Arabidopsis thaliana: one gene and its partner. The protein of the gene in region 1 purifies or fractionates together with the protein of each later gene. This does not show direct contact. Each region holds a gene or a part of one and is shown on either strand. Other genes may lie near its edges. The genes, in order: FUM1 and IAR4.

The links.
Region 2: the proteins of FUM1 (region 1) and IAR4 purify together in Arabidopsis thaliana (affinity purification with mass spectrometry, with the first as the bait; one large-scale study listed by BioGRID). This does not show direct contact.

What each region holds. Positions count from the first base shown.
Region 1 is NC_003071.7:19,494,663-19,504,894, reverse strand, and holds FUM1 (fumarase 1), read right to left. Parts: upstream 6,667-10,232; 5' UTR 6,407-6,666; intron 6,392-6,406; exon of another isoform or gene 6,306-6,391; 5' UTR 6,282-6,305; coding exon 6,139-6,281; intron 6,051-6,138; coding exon 5,933-6,050; intron 5,831-5,932; coding exon 5,681-5,830; intron 5,558-5,680; coding exon 5,447-5,557; intron 5,308-5,446; coding exon 5,224-5,307; intron 4,894-5,223; coding exon 4,795-4,893; intron 4,719-4,794; coding exon 4,668-4,718; intron 4,580-4,667; coding exon 4,530-4,579; intron 4,414-4,529; coding exon 4,332-4,413; intron 4,206-4,331; coding exon 4,111-4,205; intron 4,029-4,110; coding exon 3,962-4,028; intron 3,879-3,961; coding exon 3,828-3,878; intron 3,722-3,827; coding exon 3,626-3,721; intron 3,536-3,625; coding exon 3,437-3,535; intron 3,343-3,436; coding exon 3,313-3,342; intron 3,203-3,312; coding exon 3,137-3,202; intron 2,962-3,136; coding exon 2,875-2,961; 3' UTR 2,407-2,874; downstream 1-2,406. Other genes in the region: AT2G47530 (Pollen Ole e 1 allergen and extensin family protein), read right to left, coding at 43-377, 456-675; ERF71 (Integrase-type DNA-binding superfamily protein), read left to right, coding at 1,405-1,510, 1,595-2,004; AT2G47500 (P-loop nucleoside triphosphate hydrolases superfamily protein with CH (Calponin Homology) domain-containing protein), read right to left, coding at 7,013-7,136, 7,229-7,710, 7,792-7,905, 8,009-8,172, 8,266-8,519, 8,617-8,778, 8,884-9,062, 9,149-9,255 and 5 more. UniProt on the Arabidopsis thaliana protein: Catalyzes the reversible stereospecific interconversion of fumarate to L-malate. Catalyzes the hydration of fumarate to L-malate in the tricarboxylic acid (TCA) cycle to facilitate a transition step in the production of energy in the form of NADH.
Region 2 is NC_003070.9:8,557,441-8,566,314, forward strand, and holds IAR4 (thiamine diphosphate-binding fold (THDP-binding) superfamily protein), read right to left. Parts: upstream 6,063-8,874; 5' UTR 5,943-6,062; coding exon 5,252-5,942; intron 5,169-5,251; coding exon 5,089-5,168; intron 4,692-5,088; coding exon 4,614-4,691; intron 4,069-4,613; coding exon 3,973-4,068; intron 3,880-3,972; coding exon 3,808-3,879; intron 3,701-3,807; coding exon 3,647-3,700; intron 3,565-3,646; coding exon 3,499-3,564; intron 3,382-3,498; coding exon 3,337-3,381; 3' UTR 2,980-3,336; downstream 1-2,979. Other genes in the region: LGT9 (Nucleotide-diphospho-sugar transferases superfamily protein), read right to left, coding at 11-1,192; SNL3 (SIN3-like 3), read right to left, coding at 6,266-6,346, 6,463-6,546, 6,646-6,748, 6,842-7,008, 7,102-7,254, 7,346-7,484, 7,573-7,673, 7,776-8,387 and 2 more. UniProt on the Arabidopsis thaliana protein: The pyruvate dehydrogenase complex catalyzes the overall conversion of pyruvate to acetyl-CoA and CO(2).

The DNA of each region.
Region 1 (10,232 bases):
GAGAATACAAATAAACCGCGATATAATGACTGATTGTGATCCCTAGTAAACGGGTTTGGGAGCCACTGGACTTGAGAAATAGAAAGGTTCAAGGGTGTAGAGGGTCAAGTTGTCGTGGCTAAGGAACTTGGAGTTGTCGGGAGAGAGTGGAGCTCCGGTGACACCTTTGTTGACATTGGTCGGAGTCTTACACGTGAAGACCGGAGAGCTCTCGAGTTTCACTTTGCAGCTGCTGATGTTATTCACCTTGTGTGAGAGTCCGTACGTGATGAAGTAGAAGTATCCCTTCAAGTCCGTTGGGTAGCTAGAGATTGTAACCTTAGCCACTAGCTTTCCATATGAATCCACGACAGGACACACAACCTTAACCTTGCCCCCTGTCAAGTACATCACCGGTTTGGTAAGATGTCATGGGATGTAACACATATAATGTGAAATCGAAAATGTAGTTGCACCTTGGATGGGGTAGGTTTTGTAGCCAGATTTGCACAAGATGAAACCTTCGATGGCGATGTCAGGGTTTGATTTTGGCAAGTATGGAGTCTTAACCGGTGATGTGTAGGTGGTTGTTGGTTTGGGAACGTAAGGTTGTGGTTGCGCATAGTAATCGGCAGTAGCCACAACCACCACCATCGCGAGGAGGAGGAGGTTAGTGGCGGCGCCTGTGGATGCCATTGTTAGTAGTTGCTCGTCTGTTGTTGGTTGTTTAAGGTCTGATCACAAGACATGGCCTCCTTTATATATGTGGAACACAATGTCGACAGAAGTATCTTAAGATTATATAGGACAAGTGTCAACTAGATGTTGGCCGGAAGAGAAGAGACATAATTGGGTGCACGTTTAAATTTTTATATTTCCCCACCAAAACCTAATAATATTGATCGAGAAATGTTTTGATAATTATTACTCATCACACTACACCAAGCTAGGATCCGAATTGAGAAGGAAGGAATTACTGTTTTGTGGTTAATTCTTGAGTGAAGTATTTATAAATACGTATTTACATGCATGATTAGATAAATTAACTAAAACAAATAGAAGAATTTGGTAGGAATTAATATTACGCCATGTAATATAGTATTTGATGTGGGAGTAGAAATAATTAAGAAAGCGTTATGGTTCAAATGATAACTGCAAATTCTATGATTAATTAACTTATTATTATTTATAAGTTGTTAATGGTAGTTGCAAAAGGTTATAGAGCACACAGTAAATAAAGTAGATGATATTAATAAAAGTTTCTAGAAGAACTTGGTCGTCAAGCAAAAACAGCAACAACTCTGACATTGTCTCACTATATAAAACCCAAATTCTCTTTCTCTTTTAGGACTCGGTTCAAAAACGAAAACGCAAATACGTCTTGTTCTAGTTTGGAGTTGGAAGCGTAAAAAACAAAAAACAAAAATGTGTGGGGGAGCTATCATTTCTGATTTCATCTGGTCGAAATCTGAGTCAGAACCGAGTCAACTCGGCTCTGTTAGCAGCAGGAAGAAGCGTAAACCCGTCTCAGGTACAACACTTTTGGTTTCGAGTTTTGTTTTTTTATTATAAAACCTAATATATCCGTTTCTGATTCGGGAATATCTTCGAACAGTGAGTGAAGAAAGAGATGGGAAACGAGAGAGGAAGAATCTGTACAGAGGGATAAGGCAGAGGCCATGGGGCAAATGGGCAGCGGAGATTCGTGACCCGAGCAAAGGTGTACGTGTCTGGCTTGGCACATTCAAAACCGCCGACGAAGCTGCTCGAGCCTACGACGTTGCTGCCATCAAAATCCGTGGCCGGAAAGCCAAACTGAATTTCCCAAACACTCAAGTAGAAGAAGAAGCCGATACTAAACCAGGGGGGAATCAAAATGAGCTGATTTCGGAAAACCAAGTAGAGAGCTTATCGGAGGACCTGATGGCATTGGAGGATTACATGAGATTCTATCAGATTCCGGTTGCCGACGACCAATCGGCGACCGATATTGGAAATTTATGGAGCTATCAAGACTCCAATTAAATCTCTTATTTCCCGGCCGGTTTGCTCACTCATTAATATGCTGCTAATTTACTTGTTTTTTACTTAACAATCAAGTCTAATTTGTTTCCATCAATATTTCAGATAAGAGTAAAGCTTCAATTGTCTTTAAAAACAGTTTTCAGTGCTTTATATAAATAGTTTGTCAAGAACAAACACACTAAACACCGTCGTTTATAGTCTTCACCATGTTTTTTTTTTGTTTGATTAGATATGATATCACAGAAACAATTCATATTTAAGTTTAAGATTCTCATTCTCGTTTTGTTTTCAACACCTAAATTTTGAACTTCAAAAAAAAATAAAAATAAAAATTTAATATGTTAAGTATAGAGATTTTTTTTCTTTCAAAAAGAACATTAAATGTAATCATGGAGACAGTCTCGGGGAAACCGCGGTTGTGGCGGCGGCGGAGCGGAATCTGTTGGCTTGAGGACGCTCATGGTTTCATCGTCTAAAGGTGTGTCATGTTTGTATTCTTTTACACCTTTACGCTACGTCATAAGCCTCGTTCAATTTGAGGTCTAACAAAAGCCCAGTAAAGCCAATCCAATTTTAATCGGCCCAAAGAGTAATAAATCCTAGCGCCAATAAGGCTCGTACCGTGAGCCCACCGAGGAGAGAGAGACTAACGAAACTCAGAAATTCTTCTCGCTGAGTACTCACTCTCTTATTCAACACAAAAAAAAAATTGATACATAAAGAAGATCATAGTTTAGCCGTAAGATGAAGAACAATGTTGCCCTCCCAAGAAAATTTGAATTGTTTCTGGATTTGCTCATTTTTATTATAACCTAAATAAAAGCATCAGAAGAATAATGGTACTTGAAGCTTTGGCTCCAAAAACAACTATCAATCGGAGGGACCAATCATCTTCTCAGGAACAACAAGTGTATCAAACTCTTCCGCAGTAAGCACGCCTAAATTCAGAGCCGCTTCCTGTAGGATAAATTAAAACTCAAGGTTTAACATACTATAGAACCTGTTTACAATAAATTTATGTAATCTGCATTGCAGATATATTTGCTATCAAACTGCTGATGCAGGCAATAACGTCTTTCTCTTGTTGCCAATCAATTTCAATTCTCTATAATAAATTGTTTCTTGTGTTTACCTTCAATGTACATCCTTCTTTGTGAGCTTTCTTGGCAACTGCTGCAGCATTGTCATACCCGATTTTCTGGTAAAGAGGATAAGGATTCCAAAACTCAGCATCAAAGTACATTCATTAGTAATCCTAATGGTAAAACGGATGACTAAAAAGGCGGAGTTCAATATTTAGAGACTTACCGGATTCAATGATGTCACAAGCATAAGAGACTACAGATAAATACATGGAACAAAATAATCAGTTCCCAGATATCATTTTCGTTTGATGGAAAATTTTCAGACCAACAAACGAGAATAAGCCTACCTCGTGCAATAGCTTTGAGATTCTTTCTCTGTTGGCCTCAATGCCCCTCACACAGTTTTTCTCGAACGAAGCTGAAGCATCTGCTATTAATCTGACGGACTGTCAAAGAGGCGAGATCAAATGGTTAAGACTGGTATATTTTTATATAAAATCAAGGAAACAGACGTAGAATGAAAATGATTGACATACATGTAAAAGAGCACTCGCGATCACCGGCTTGAATACATTCAATTCGAAATGACCATTTGACCCACCAACTGTCACAGCTACATGGTTTCCCATAACCTGCAATGTTATTGGTTGCAACCCAAACAGTCAAGGAACAATAATACAACCTTAGCATCTAGATTCATTGGTCTGTACTAAGAATGTATTGATAGATGGGACTTACCTGTGCACAAACCATAGTCAAGGCCTCACACTGTGTAGGATTTACCTTCCCCTGAGAAAGAGATAAAAATTCATTTGAATCAAAACTAGTGAAAAAGAAAAGGACAGAAGAGCAAAGGAAGATTGCATTCATACAGGCATGATACTGCTTCCTGGCTCATTTTCAGGTAGTACAAGTTCACCAAGACCACATCTTGGGCCACTATATAAAGACATGGTAAACCATAAGGACATAGTGCATGTTAAAGAAAGAAAAAAATAATCCCTATAGATTAGATCCATACCTTCCAAGAAAACGTATATCATTGGCGATCTTCATCAGCGATGTGGCGATTGTGTTAAGTGACCCACTGGTTTCAACACAAGCATCGTGTGCAGCCTGGAAAAAGCAGAATAATTTAGCAACTGATTTCACCGTTTAGGAACATCTTGTCTAGTTGGCACCAGAGGCAGAGCTAGGAATGGGTTTCGTGTCAATAAATAATAGAGGTAGTTTGGAGGCTACCAGAGCTTCAAACTTGTTTTCTGCAGTGACAAATGGCAAGTTTGTTTCTTCAGCTACTGCAGCAGCTATCTTTACATCAAACCTGTACAGATATTACTAGTGTTACTACAGTGGACAAAGCCCACTAATAAAACATCAAATTTAGGAGAGATGAACCTGGGATGGAATTATGGAAATAAAATTAGAAATGAGATATACCCTTTCTTAGTGTTTAATCCTGTCCCAACCGCAGTTCCACCTTGTGCAAGCTGGCCAAACATTTCCAGCAAGTTAGACCTCAGTATAAACTGGAGAAGTACAGGAAATCAGATCCCCAAAAGATATCATTTCCCAAACCTGATAGAGGCGAGGAAGAGTGCAGGTGACTCTATTTAGTCCATACTTAACCTGCAGGTGAGTTCCAGATTGTATGTGATTTTCAACTTTGTTAGACAAACACAGTTTTCTGAACAAAACCACTTACTTGAGTAGCATAGCCACCAAATTCTTGTCCTAGTGTCAAAGGTGTAGCATCTTGAGTGTGAGTTCTTCCAATTTTCACAATATCTTTGAACTCGAAGGACTGCCAGAAACAAGGTAAGTTTGGAAAGAATTAGGATTCAGAGCAGATAGACCATAAAGCCCAAGTGCAAATGCAATAGGAATGTGAAGAGGTCTAGAAAAGCAGGATTATATAACAAAGTGGCAGGGTCAGAAGATGTTCCTTAAACGCAACAATGCAACATCTACAAAGCAACTCTCACATACAAATAGTACCACACAGAACTAATATCAGAAGTGATCCATGATACTATAGAGGTCAGAGCAAGTTTTATTTTTAAAGAGTCTTGTGTTGCAGTTTAGCGACTAGATCAAGTGTGTCACTTAAGAAGGAGCAAGAAAAAAGTCAGACCTTAGATTCCAAAGTGCTATGCAAAGTTTTTAAACTAGGGATGAGCCTCGAATTAATCTCGGTTGCAGCTGCAATGTGCATGACCTAGACAAAAGCCAAAAAAAAAAAAAAGACCGTCAATTAGAAGTTGAAAGGGAAGTGAGCCAACATATAAGAAAGAAAAATTTTAAAAACTTAAAGCATGTAAAAAGTATTGGTAGCTGGAATGCAAATGAAAGCTTACGGTAGGAAAAGTGTCGTTAGAAGATTGTGATCTGTTCACATGGTCATTTGGGTGCACACATTTCTCACCACGTTTGCGACCAAGAATCTCAGCTGCTCTATTAGCAATGACCTGTGAAGAGCAAATAACAAGGCCAAAAGAAAATGAAAAAACATAAACAGAAAGCCTTCTCTTGTAGCTAGCTATATACAATGAGATCCTCAACAGATGTCTCAAAAACTGCAAAGAAATTACCTCATTAGCATTCATATTACTCTGAGTCCCACTACCAGTTTGCCAGACAACAAGGGGGAAATGATCATTGAGCTTTCCCTCAGCTACTTCCTGAGCAGCTTGCATAATTGCTTTCCCAATCGTCGGATCAAGACCGTATTCCATGTTAACCTATAAAATTATATTAACTCAATTCATCACAGAACCAAATACGAGAAAGCAAATGAGAATTCAGATGCAAATTAACCCCAAAACCTGGAGCTAGAATGTTACCTTGGCAGCGCATTTCTTCAAGACGCCAAAAGCGCGGACAATTGGTTCAGGCATTCGCTCGCGCTCACCACCGATTTCGAAGTTCTGCAGCGATCTCTGCGTCTGGGCTCCCCACAATCTGAGACACACAACAAATAAAACACTGTGAAACGTTTCCCTCGAGGATAAGAGAAAATTCGACGTTGCGTAAAGATCAGATCCCGAACTTATCGGAAGGAACTTGAATCGGCCCGAAGGTGTCCCTCTCCTCCCTAAACGAGGTCGAATAAGATCTCAGAGAGGTGGCATAACGCAGCGCCGTCACAGTTGTTCCGCCGGAGAGCCGTCGCGACGCGACGTAAATCGACATGGATTCTTCTACCTGACAGTAAAACTGCAGTCAACAAAGAGGCGAGCGAAGAATCATCAAACTACGCATTTCTCAATCCAGGATAGGATTACGAATCTGTAAACGTAAATAGCAAAAACAAAAACCTTGGAAGACGGAGATGGAGAGCTGAGAGAAGACGACGGATCAAGTTGCACAAGAGCAGAGGGAGAAAGAAAGATAGGGCAAACAACAAAAATAAAATTATAATATTCGAGAAACGGATTCAACGAATCAGAAGGTTGGTCGATATTTGAAAAGTACTATGCTTTTTTTTTTTCTGTTGTGAAATAATACTTTCCCAAATTTTACATATTTCTAATAAAATATTTTTATACTAGCAAAGATTGCAAAAGTTGTAACTAATTAGAAGAAATGCAACAAGTCTCTGATTTGAAGCATTATAGAATATACTAAAAAAACTCTCAAGCAAATAGTTAACAAACAAATCTTTCATATTTTTTATGTTCAGCTAGTGGAAGAATATACATAGAACAGAAAAGTAAAACAAAACCCAAGAAAGAGAGCAACAAGAAGAAACTGTTGTTGCATTGTCTAGCTATTGTCTTTGTCTGTGTTATGTATATAAAAGCTCGCACAACCAAACGAGAGAAGAAGAAACAATAAAAACCAATGGATGAAAAATAAACAAATCAAAACCAATAAGAAGCCATGTGAGTGTGTATGTATGTATCCGTGTGAGTGAGTGGCCTTCAATGTCTGGCGTTAGTAGCTTTCCGCTTCATATCAGCAGGACCGAACTGTTTCATGCCACGAGGACCATTCCCTACCTTCTGTGAAGCCAAAGGACGTGAAACCGTGTTGTTTGAGTTGTTCCTGCATTTTTTTTGGAACCATTCAAAAGAAACTGTTAAAGATTTTCTATATTGTTGTTTCATTTAGTTTTTGACCGAGTAAAGGACACTTACCTGGATTGAGGACTTCTTATAGGTTTTGAGACGGGTTTCTTGAGTTTTGACTCAATATTGCTTCTTGTAGGTATCTTGGTGGACTGGTTGAATTGCCAGAGCAAATCTGGCTCAGATGAGTCACTTGTGGCTGCATCTAGATCGTCTGTGCTGTTGTTGTTTCCCATGAAGATGTTGTAAGAATGTTCAGAGAATATTCTTGAAGTGTCTGAAGCCAAATCTCTCCTGTAAAAATCTTCCGGCAGAATACCAATACCATTCTCTGTTGTGGCTCCTCCCCAAAGACTCTCCACTCTTCTCATCTCGTCTTGTCTGTTATTCACCATCACCTTGTCAACCCACTCGCTGGACCCGAAACTTCGGTCATCCTCTCTGTAGGCTTGTCCTGGACTTGCTACTGGTGGCCAAGGTGGTGAGTTCACTGTAATCTCCTCCACTTCACAACTCTCAGATTTCTTTGTCATGATGTTATTGTTATGAATCTGCAATCACTCAGAAAACAATGTCCACTTTGAGATCTGATTTTAAATCATAGAGAAGGTGCTTGAGAAAAGAAGAATCACCTCTACTTCACCAGTTTTGGCTTTGTGTTTCTCAGAGCCACCAGGAGTTTTCAAGATGTTGTTCTGCTGTGACTCTGCTTCTTTTCTCGCGAGTGCTGCTTTAAGAGTAGCAATCTGTAAACAAAGCAAAAGCCCATGTGTGTGAGACAATCAAATACTATCAACCAAGAAAGTGAAACCATCAGATTCAGTTAATGCAAAAAGAGAAAAAAAAAACCTGTTCTTTGAGTTCCTTAACATCTGAAGTATCATTGTTCACTCGTGCAGCCCCAAGCTCAACCGTAGCTACTCTCTCTGCAAACTTCAAAGTGCTTATTGTTTCCCCAACTGCATCTGCCTCAGGACTAATGTGGACAAACATCAATGTCTTTGCTTGTCCTCCTGATATAACATATTTGCAATCCCAAGTTAAGAAAAAGGTGAGTTTTTATTTAGCTGCAAATATTCAGGACTAAATTACTTGTATCCTTTTACCAAGAGAGTCCTGAAGGAGTTGTGTGAGTTTGCTGTTTCTGTAAGGAACATGTGGGTTCTTGTGAGCTAGCGAAGCAATCACATCTCCTAAAGCAGAGAGCGATCTATTGATGTGCTGTGCTTCTTTTAGTCTGTCTCCAGTAACCTCGGATTTGTCTACCCTCTCACTGCCTGCTAGATCCACAAGATGCATGCATCCTCGAAGCACAGCTCCTGAAGTCAAGTCTCTTCCTTGAACATGAACAGTCAAGCAGCTGCAAAAAAAAATAAGATTGAAAAATGTTATATTGAGTAAGACTCTTGAAGATTATTTTTTGTTCTCGCTGCTCTTGAAAACATTTTGTCTTTTACCTATGAGAACGACTGCTTCGATCATTCAAGGCTGTTGATCCAACGGCTCGATTCTTGTGCCCAGTTTTCATTAGATCAATAACATCAAATGTTGAAGAGACTGGAACAAGACTTGCATCCGGTACACTTAGACCCTTTTGAGAGCTATTCCTGATCTCTAACGTACCAAAAAATGTTAAGGAATATGAAACTGAAACATGAAAATGATCTCTCTCTCTCTATCTAATCAAAACATTAAGAAGTATATCCATTCATGAAAAAGGATATCTTTTATTGCTTCCATCAGTAACCAAAAGGTCTCTAACTTGCTCATTGTAAATCTCAATCATCTGAACTGCAATATCGTAGCGGAATGTGTCTTTTCTTTGTTCAGCAAGAAGAAACAGATCACCAAGTGCTCTGTAATTAACTCCCTGGCTCTTCTCCGTTAGATCTCTTGGTCCACTCTAGAAAATTTACAAAAATGGAAACATTAAAATTCTCTAGCTTCAAATGTTAACAGTCTTCAAAATTTATTCAACTCTAATCTTACCATTGTGAATGTTTTTCCTGATCCAGTTTGACCATATGCAAATATGCAGACATTGTATCCATCAAGAACAGAACGGATCAATGGCTGCATATCAGAAAATACCTCTTCTACAAAGAGCAAGATAGATCCTTCAGGTTAAATTCAATCACTAGAGAATAACAGCAAGGCATTTCAATTACATTACCTTGAGTTGCAGATGGGCCAAAGACTTTGTTGAAAGTGAAGGATTTGAGTGATTTTCCATGTCTAGATGCAGTATTGATCCCTATGGTATCATCCTCCATGTTCCCAATTGTACTAGAAAAGCTGGATTGTCCAGGCAAAAATGGCCGCACCCGACAATAAACACGGATGCTACCCTTGAGATCCTGCACTTGATTATAAAGTTTTCGGTTTTCTTCAAGAACTCGGTGATAGCCAGAAGCAGCATGAGCAAGGCCATGAACGTGCATACCTGTAGACAGATATAGATTCATTAGTGTCAAATTCTTGGATATCCAAAAAAAACTTTCTTAGAAAGTAAGAGAAGAAAGATCTGAATACCAAGAGAAGAGAACTCTTCTTGAAATTTCTTCTGCATAAATTGCATACCAGCCCTTGTTGTGTAGAGCGTCTGTCTTAGTCCCTAATAAACATAAAGAACAGCAGATACACTCAGAATCTGTGCTATCCTAAACTCAAAGAAATGGTGGGCAGTGTAGTGCTTACTTCTATATCTTCTTGTTGTTGGTTGAAGATTGTCAGTTGTTTAAATTGGCGAGTTTTCATCTTTTCGTCAAGAATCTGACTATTGTGATCATCTTTCTTTATTGCTTTGAAACTCTTCTCTTCCCTCTACAAAGGCACTTCATTAATCAGCAAAAACTTCTAAGTTTTATTTTACGGAAATAAATTGAAGACTTTACCTCTCTTTCACCAAGAGGTTTAAGAAATGATCTGTTGTTCTGTGACGAAGTTGATTCTCTTGGAGCTGCTCTAACCTTCGCATGACAGAACTCCTTAGATTAGAAGATATTTTGTGGACTAACCAATTGAACCAAGAGACAGACGTAGAAACAAGAAACTTACCAACTCATACTGATTT
Region 2 (8,874 bases), on another chromosome or scaffold:
TTTAAAACTCTCACAAGAAGCTTGAATCATCAGTCAACTCCGACAGAGAAGCAAACCCAAGCAGAGACTGATCTTTAGCTCTCTCAATCTTATGCTTATACAAATCATATGGCTCCCAAAGATGATCCAACGGACAAGGCCTCTTCTCATCAAGTCTAACCCATGGCTTACCTTTACCACTCCAATGCAACAAGCTCACAGGACCAGGATGCAATGACCGACAACTTCCTCGTATATTGTCTCCTCCTAAACCATGTTGGTTCCATCTATGATCAATAGCTTCAACATTACCCGCAAACACCAAAAGAAACGGTGGTAATGATCCAAGATCGTAGATTCTCATCTTCTTCTGCAATTGCATCCATTGCTCTAACTTCTCTCTGTAATTCCCTTCTCTCCATCTAACAAGATCCATCACCATCACTCCTGTGTTGAAATAGCAAGGCTTTTGACCCGAGATTAGACCCGGTAAAGCCGGGTCTGACCAGAACCCGGAAGTGAAATACTGAGTGAAGTTCGCGTGACAATACTCCGGAGCTCCGATGACTCGTGACCCGGTCAAAACCGTGTTCCAAAGCTTTGTGATATCATCCACAGTTATAACATCCGAGTCAAGATAAATGACTCGTTCAACACTTCGATCAAGAATATCTCCGAGATAGTTCCGAGCATAGTTCAACGGATTCTCCAAAGCTAGTCTAATCGAAGAAGATATGAGATTGATCACCGTATCTTCCCTAAAAATGTAGACTTTAAAGTTCAACGAAGGAAAAGTCGACCTCACGAGTTGACTCAGAACACGAGGACTCGCAGAGTCAAACTCAGCAGCGATGAAATGGAAGAAGACGTTCTCTGGACAAGACGCGTGGCGAAGAACAGAATGAACGGCTGCGATTGATCCACGGAGATACTCTGAGTCCAAAGTCATAGCGATGTGAACAAGCGAAGGATCATTAGAACTAGAAGAAGACGACACGAAGTTCTCTCTGTTCACTGATGAAGATACACACTCCTTGCCGTTTCTATACTCCGGAGCTTCCATAAACGGACCAAGTTTACTAAACCCATTATTACCTCCTCCGCCGCCGCCATCACCGACACTCGTGATCCTCGCCGGAATCAACCGTATACCAACAACAAACGGTAACAGAGCAATCAAACACACCACCGTCAAAGAAAAACGCGACGACATTACTAAACAAAAACGCGTTTGAATGAATCAAAGATTAAGACTTTATCAACGGCTAATGATTTAGCATTGTGAAAGATTAAGTAAAGAACTGAAAGAATGTTCCTTTTTGGAAGTTTTGTGTCTCTCCACAGAGATGGAGAGATAAGGAAAGAGGAAGAAGAAGAAGAAGAAGAAGAAGAAAGATTGGTTATGAAAGAGTCATTTTTGCTCATTGTCATTGCCTTTAACTTTTGATGATTTTGTTTTCCTAAATTAGGAGAATACGAATCACGCGCGTATTAAAAAAACGCGTGAGACGTCATTAAGGCTTAGTCGTTAAGGGAAAGTGTTGAAGAAACAAATCCCTAAGACTGTAATTAACGAAAAGGTTAATTACTACAAGATTTAGGTGAGTTTTAAGGTCTTGGCCCATTAAGGCGGTGCCAGCTGTGTAGGTCGAGGGAAACAGCTGGATGATTCGCTTTTTGGTAATTGGACGGTTGAGATTAAACGATGAGAACTCAACTTGTCACGTGCGCTGCACACCTATTTGCTTGTAATGTAGTAATGGCATTGGAAAAATGTTTGCTAATAAATGTTTGTTTGCCAGTGGAAAAATGTTTTATTTTTTGTGATTTTCGTACTGGCAAGCATAATAAGCAATAATTACCCTAGACAATATTTCCCCAGGAATGTTTTTGGAAAATAAATAAAAATAATACTATCCTTTTTTGCCTTTAATTTTATAGATATCAGATTTTTGACAGACAAGCAAGGTATATGTTCATAAAGAGTATATATTTTTCCTAAAGAATGTTAAGGAAAATTGAATAATTTCCTTTTACATAACAAAACGGTAGAGAAAAGCACTGGATTTTGTACAACCAAACAAGGAAACTATAGATTCACTCACATGTCTCAATCATTTAACAATGATTTACTGTTATAAAAGTTAATGCAATTTCACAATTTGTAGAAACTAGTACAAGAATTTTAAGAGAAATCAATATCAAATGTTAGGATAGTTTTTTAAACTATGGTTTCACCGACGAATAAGACTCGTGACTATCATTCATAATTTGTTTTCTCAGAAATTTCATTAGAAAATATATATGTTTTTGTTGTCGGCACATTTTATTGGGATATTAAAGTTGAAGTTTTGTTCTCTTCTTAGTGTTAGTATATATATTATTGGGCTGTTGGTAGCGACTACCAAGCCAATTAAATCCGAATATTCCCGTTGGGTAGTGCAGCTCATGGTCAGACGTAACATCTTATTATATGAATAACATTTTCAATAATACCATTCATGTATCACTTTCTCGAGTTTTTCTTAAGGACTTTTTCTCGGATATGAGAAGAGAACACGATGAAGATTCCGTTGAACATATTTGATTTGATGATATAGAGAGAATATTCTTGAATAAGTTAAAACACTGAACACTATATAATATATAAACTTGTTACTTGTCAAACTAATTATTTACCGAGTAAAAAACTAAGCAAAGGTTTGTTTGGTTTCTATTGGCTTACAGAGAGAACCAAATGCTTGGTTAACAAAGGAAAAAGCAATCAATCATCAATGTTCTTTTGTAGTGATTAGTTGTTGCAAGAAATCTAATCTAATTTAAGTATTAAGAAAGAGAGTGAGTGGCGTCATAGAGTTTACCTATTCAATAAGATTTGGTGTTGATGTGGGGGATGATGAGAAAGGGACTTGTAGAGTAGAAGCAAAGATTATTCAAGTTAGGTGGTGGAGACATAACTATTCATGTGGTTTTATTGGTACCGACGCAGAAGTTGGTTTTGCCTTTTTATTTTTATATATATTAGATAACGAATTTAACACGGGGTCTTGATGATTTTGTAATCACATGTCGACATTTTTCTACTTGAGACAAAGAAGCTGATGATCTTTCTCTTAACTACTCTCTGCTTATTTCTCTAACTTTATCTCACAGAGTGATATCCGAAGCTTCTTTTGCTTGGTGTCAAATTGAAGTGTGGGAAACAAAAGTTGGCAAACTGGTGAAGCAATGGCTTTACACTTGAAATGAAAATACAAAAAAAAAAAACCAGAAATATTTTTGGTAGCAAGTTAAAAAGATTTGTGTAGCCTTGCCTTCTGATTTATTGAACCAATCATCTCCTTGGGAAGCAAGATTCTATGGAAGTGTTACTTTGAGTTCTTTTCTGTCTGCTCCAAACGACTGCAAATTTCAATGGAGGAAAATGCGTAAATCTCTAGATTCATATGCCAACAACTACCAACGCCACAGGGTTACAAAAGAAATAAATAGATGTGAAAGAGTGGGATGTGATAGTACCTCAACTCCGCAGTCTTTCACGTACATGTTTGTGAATAGCTCAGATGCATCTGGTATCGGGCTCTCCTGAAACAAGTTAAACAGCAAGGAATTAGTTCGTGTTTTGATAAATAACAAGGACAAAGATAGAAACAATTAAGATTATTACCTTGGCCTGAGCTACGGCGTCATCTACTTCTTTCCTTATCTCTTTCTCCATGTCCTTTAATGTCAAAAGAATTTTGTCATTTCCATAGTCAAGTTTGATGGTTGTATGTATAATTTTTTTCAAGCTTTTTGTCTGGAATGGGAAGGTGGTGAACAGGGTACCTTAAGCTCTTTTTCGGTAGCTATGTCATGAGTTAAGAGCAACTTTCGCACCCTTTCAATTGGATCACGCACCTAAAGGTAACACCGATGAAAACTTTACAGATTAAAAAGTTTCAAATTGCATATGGTTGGAGCAGTAGTCTTACAAATGAACAAAGAACTAACCTGTCTCACGCCAGAGATTTCATCACGAGTACGGTAAGTGCTTCCTGGGTCAGACATAGAGTGACCGTGGTATCTGTAAGTGTCCATCTCAAGGATCTGCGCAAATAATGGCAATGGTATGTTGGTCATAATCACTAGGTAGAGAATGGATTATAAAAATACGATAAATGTCAACGCTATGTGATTGAATTCACAAGATCCAAAATGCTTGTCCCATTTGTGTTGGTGACAAAATGCAAAAAAGGAAAATTGGTTGGAAGCTGAAGTCAACATGGTATAATTTCACTTCATAAGTAGGTACACACCAAAAACTCCAAGAGATATTAGTGATATCTACTTATCTAGTACTTTTAATAGAAATCCTAGGAGCTTGTCAATCACGCCTGTCACACTCTCCCGGAAACAGCAAACAAATTAACAACATAGGTACTTAAGAAGTCTTGTTTTCTCCAAATAAACCTCGTTCAATCCAAATCTAGGCTAGGTAGAAGTTACCAGCTAACCATTCTCCCCAACCAAAGTAGCATCACACATGCAAGTAATAAATGATTCTACGAATTCTTAATTTGCATAAAATGCTAAGAGTCATATTGATTAGGTATCGATTTCATAAAACCAACAGGAGCAGCTGTAATACTTACAATAGGACCATTCTTGAGAGCATGCTCCTTGGCAAACTTGCACGCCTGTTTCACAGCCAGTGCATCCATACCATCCACCTAGAAAACAAAGCAAAAGATAATCATTCGTTAGCTTTAAGTTCACACTCTCACCAATCAGAAAAACAACGGATACAATTCTATTGGGTAAAGTAATAAAAAACTGAAGCAACTTCTGTAAAACAACAAAGATAGAGACTTTGGAGACAATTCCTTTTGGTAGTTCTCACAAAGTTACACTTGATCCGAACACACAACTGTGAAGGTTTGTCCTTTCTCATTCAATTTGTGTCTAAAACCCTATCCTCACTACCTAGCTGTTCCATAGTCGACCCAGTGGTCTAAAACACACAAGGAAACCCTGTATCAACTAAAAGCGTGCTATAGACAACTCAGTCTCATCAAAGCAAAAGCATTGTAAAGCTCAAGATCATGCCAAAAGACAACTCAGTCTCACCTTCAAGCCAGGAACATAATCTCCACGCTTGAAATAAGCCGGAGACTTAGCCGACCTCCATGTAGCCGTTCCCATTCCATCTAAACATCAAACAATCCAAATCAACACAAAAGTCTCAACAATTCCACCAAACAAATTACAATTAACCAAAAAATAAACTCACAATGGTTATTCTCGCAAACAAGAATCGCAGGCAAATCCCACAAAGCCGAAATGTTCAAGGCCTCAAACAACTGTCCCTGATTCGCAGCACCATCACCATACAAAGCAAAAGTCACAGCCTCATCCTTATTATACTTCTGAGCAAAAGCCAAACCACATCCCAATGGAATCTGAGCACCAACAATCCCATGTCCACCATAAAAGGAAGCATCTTTCTTATAGAAATGCATAGATCCTCCTTTACCATGAGAACAACCAGTTTTTCTCCCCATAAGCTCAGAGAAAGCATCAACAAGCTTCCCACCACGACCAATGAAAGTACAGTGATCACGATACGATGTGATAATCGCATCTTTTTTGGTAATCGCCGCTTCCATTCCCACCGCTAAAGCCTCTTGACCATCGTACAAATGACAGAACCCACGGATCAGCTTCGCCTTGTAAAGAGAATCTGCTGCGATCTCCATCCTCCTCATCCGAGCCATGTCACGGAAAAAGGCTAAGATCTCCTCCGATGAAGTCTCGACGGAGCGTGACGGTGATTCACATAGATGCGATGTGAAAGGGACGGCGGTTTCGATTGTGATCGGTGATGAGTCTGTGGAAACATGACGGCGGATGGAGGAGGGCAAGGCGGTAATCGCCGGCTTTAGGAAAGTGTTGGATCGTGAAGAAAGTCGTGATAACGCCATCGCCGAAGCTCTCCGATTTGCTTTTAGAAATTCTCTTTTTTGCAGTCAAAAATCGAATCTTTTTAAAGTGAGGGAAAGAGTTAGGAGAGGGCGAAGCGTCGTTTATGGAAAAGGTCAAACCTTTTATGGTCATTTGACTCATTTCTATATAACATACCATAACAAAATGAAATTTTTGATAAATGTTACAACAACATACAAAACTTTACAACAAGAGAGTGAATAAAGACAAACTTTACATATGTAACATCATTTTTGTGAGTGATTGTTTTCTTTTTCAGTCACAGACAACAAAAAGCCAAATCCTTTGTTGCTTCTTCTTCTTATGAAGATAGAGAATGCAGTTTGGCTCTATCCGGTGAAGTCAACAATGGAGAATTGCCACTTTTGTTTTTGTTTTGTCTCTGTTAAGTTGGAGAGTGAATGAACAAGTTGAGTTGATTTGGTATCCTTCTTCCAGATTGTTACAGGCTGGTCACAAGAAGTTATTTTTGTAATATTGTAACCTCATTTGCCTTACCCAAGAATCCTGATTGTGGCACAAAGTTTTTCTTCTCTTTTTAACTCGCACCAACAAATCTTCTGTTTCTAGTACATAGGAGACCTGCAAGAGATTTTCAAGAACGTGCTTTCAAGTGCTGGTCTCTCATGGATATACTCATAAGCGGTAAGCGTGATATAGGGAAGAAGATAAAAGTGTTACCTTTGAAGAACCGCAAGCTATCTTACACTCCAAACCATTTTTGATCTTAACTTCATCTGTGCTGTATAACTGTTCATCTTCACGACAAACTTTGCGCTTGTTCCTGGAGAAAACGAAAAATGGCATTGGCTTTGATGAGTGACCCACTAGGTTTCAGAGATCAAGGGACAGTCATTTGTTCATGTTTTACATTTACCTATTTAAATAGATTCTGCGATCCTCCCTTGCATTTGGTTGTATGGAGAGGAAGTCATTGTGGAGATAAGCTGCAAAGGTCGGGTCAATGGATACAGATGTCACATCGGGCTTATCAAGACCGTTGCACATAAGCTGAATAGAGAGTTTCGCTGGGGTTGATAATCTCTGCATACACATGAGGTTTTGGAGTCCAAAAGCATGATCAGCAGTGCATCGACAGAATATAAGTAGCTAATGTAAGATGCAGCAAAAACTTACACATTCAATACGGTAAATATTCTCATCAGGGAGGAGGACACGGGTATTATCGTAATACACAGCATCAAAAATCGTTTCAGGCCTTCTGGATTTCTCATAAAAATAAAGCTGAAGAAGCTTGTTGTCCATCTCATCAGCTACTACTACTTGTAGCTGAAGAATGACCACACGTATGTTAGTAAAAAGCAAGTAAAGATAGAGAGGTGAATACATAGAGAAAACATCAAAGAGCAAAAATACTCACATGCTTGATGAATTTATGGATCAGTTTGTCCAATGTGAAGAGAATATAAGACTGAGTCCCGATTATCGCTCGGCAGTCATCTTCAAACTTGGCATTATCAGATGTACCATCAAGTAAGTTGTAGAGTGCAGTCATGAATCTGTTCCACATTAATTAAAGTTATAAGTATGGAGCACATATGAATCCCAGAAACACACACAATCTCTGCAATAAAAAGCAAATTTCACCTAGCATAGGAATCAGTAGGATTTTTGGTATTTGAGGTCCTCCACTTTCCTTCCGGGGATGATGAGTTAACTTTTGCTGATAGTATTCTCTCATACAATATCTGTCAAGAGTAATAGCGTAAAGTTAGCTAGTGAAAACTCTTTGTACTTTAGATTATACTGTTTATAATTTTTTCAAACTGTATATGATCTTTAGCTCTTACCCGGTGCAGCCTGAAAAGCACGTAAAACGAATCATTTCCATAGAAAACTTGGGAGTTCTTCAGAGAGTCTTTGTCCTTGTCATGCAAAGCTATAGCTGAAGGAACATACTTTACTAAGGGCTTTACATGCAGCAAGAATCGTGCTGAAACGGGTAAGGCAGACCCATTTTCTTCAGCATCATGTGCATCAGCCATACATTCAGCCTCACCTTCGCTTTCTCCTTTGTTATTGTTATCCAAATCATCCTCCGGATCTTCACCACCACCAGATTCCGTTCCAGAAACATCACCGTTCTCATATTCATTTCTGCTGTCCTCTGATGATCTTGCGGCGTTTTCGTCACCTTCAGCGTCATTCTCAGCCCTTGTCTCCAGACAAGATGGTTCCCCTTCTCTACTTCTATCTCCGCTAATGTTATTTCCAGTACTATCATTCGCTTTGCTGAAGGTCTCAAAATCAGTTTTTGCATAAACTGCAAAATTATCTTCCTCAAAGTCTCCATTTGGAGAAAGTTCACCTTCTTCTCTTTCAACTTTGGATGTTCCTGCCATCTCTTGGTCACTTGTTATTTCTACCGCGATCCCATTTGTCAATAACTTCTTGTTACCAACCTGTGAGACAAAGTTTATCAGTACCACCTCTTGGTTAACACAGAACTAAGGGTGTGTAACTTCAAATTTTAAAACTATCTAAGTTCCATATGAAGGACCTAAGCACCAAGTGCAAACAATGGGAGATATTGTTCCATATCAACAAAATTCGGTCCTTCATTTGAAATGAGTCATCTATATAGAAAGTATCAGATCAAAATATAAGATGATGGGACTAAAACGTGCTTCACTGAAACTATACCTCTAATTTTGGCCCATTACCATCATTCATTTTCAACTCCAACTCTGTTCCACAGGTCACAGGCTTCAGATTATTATTGCAATGTCCTGACCAAGTAAAGAGGAAACTATTCATTAACTGTACAAAGAAAATGAAAAATTCCAAGAGAACTAACTTCTAAGCAAGATTTTGAGGTGTTACCGGTCATGTGTACTATACTGCTTCCTCCATTACTTTGATCTAATAATCCATCCACAGCGAGAGCAG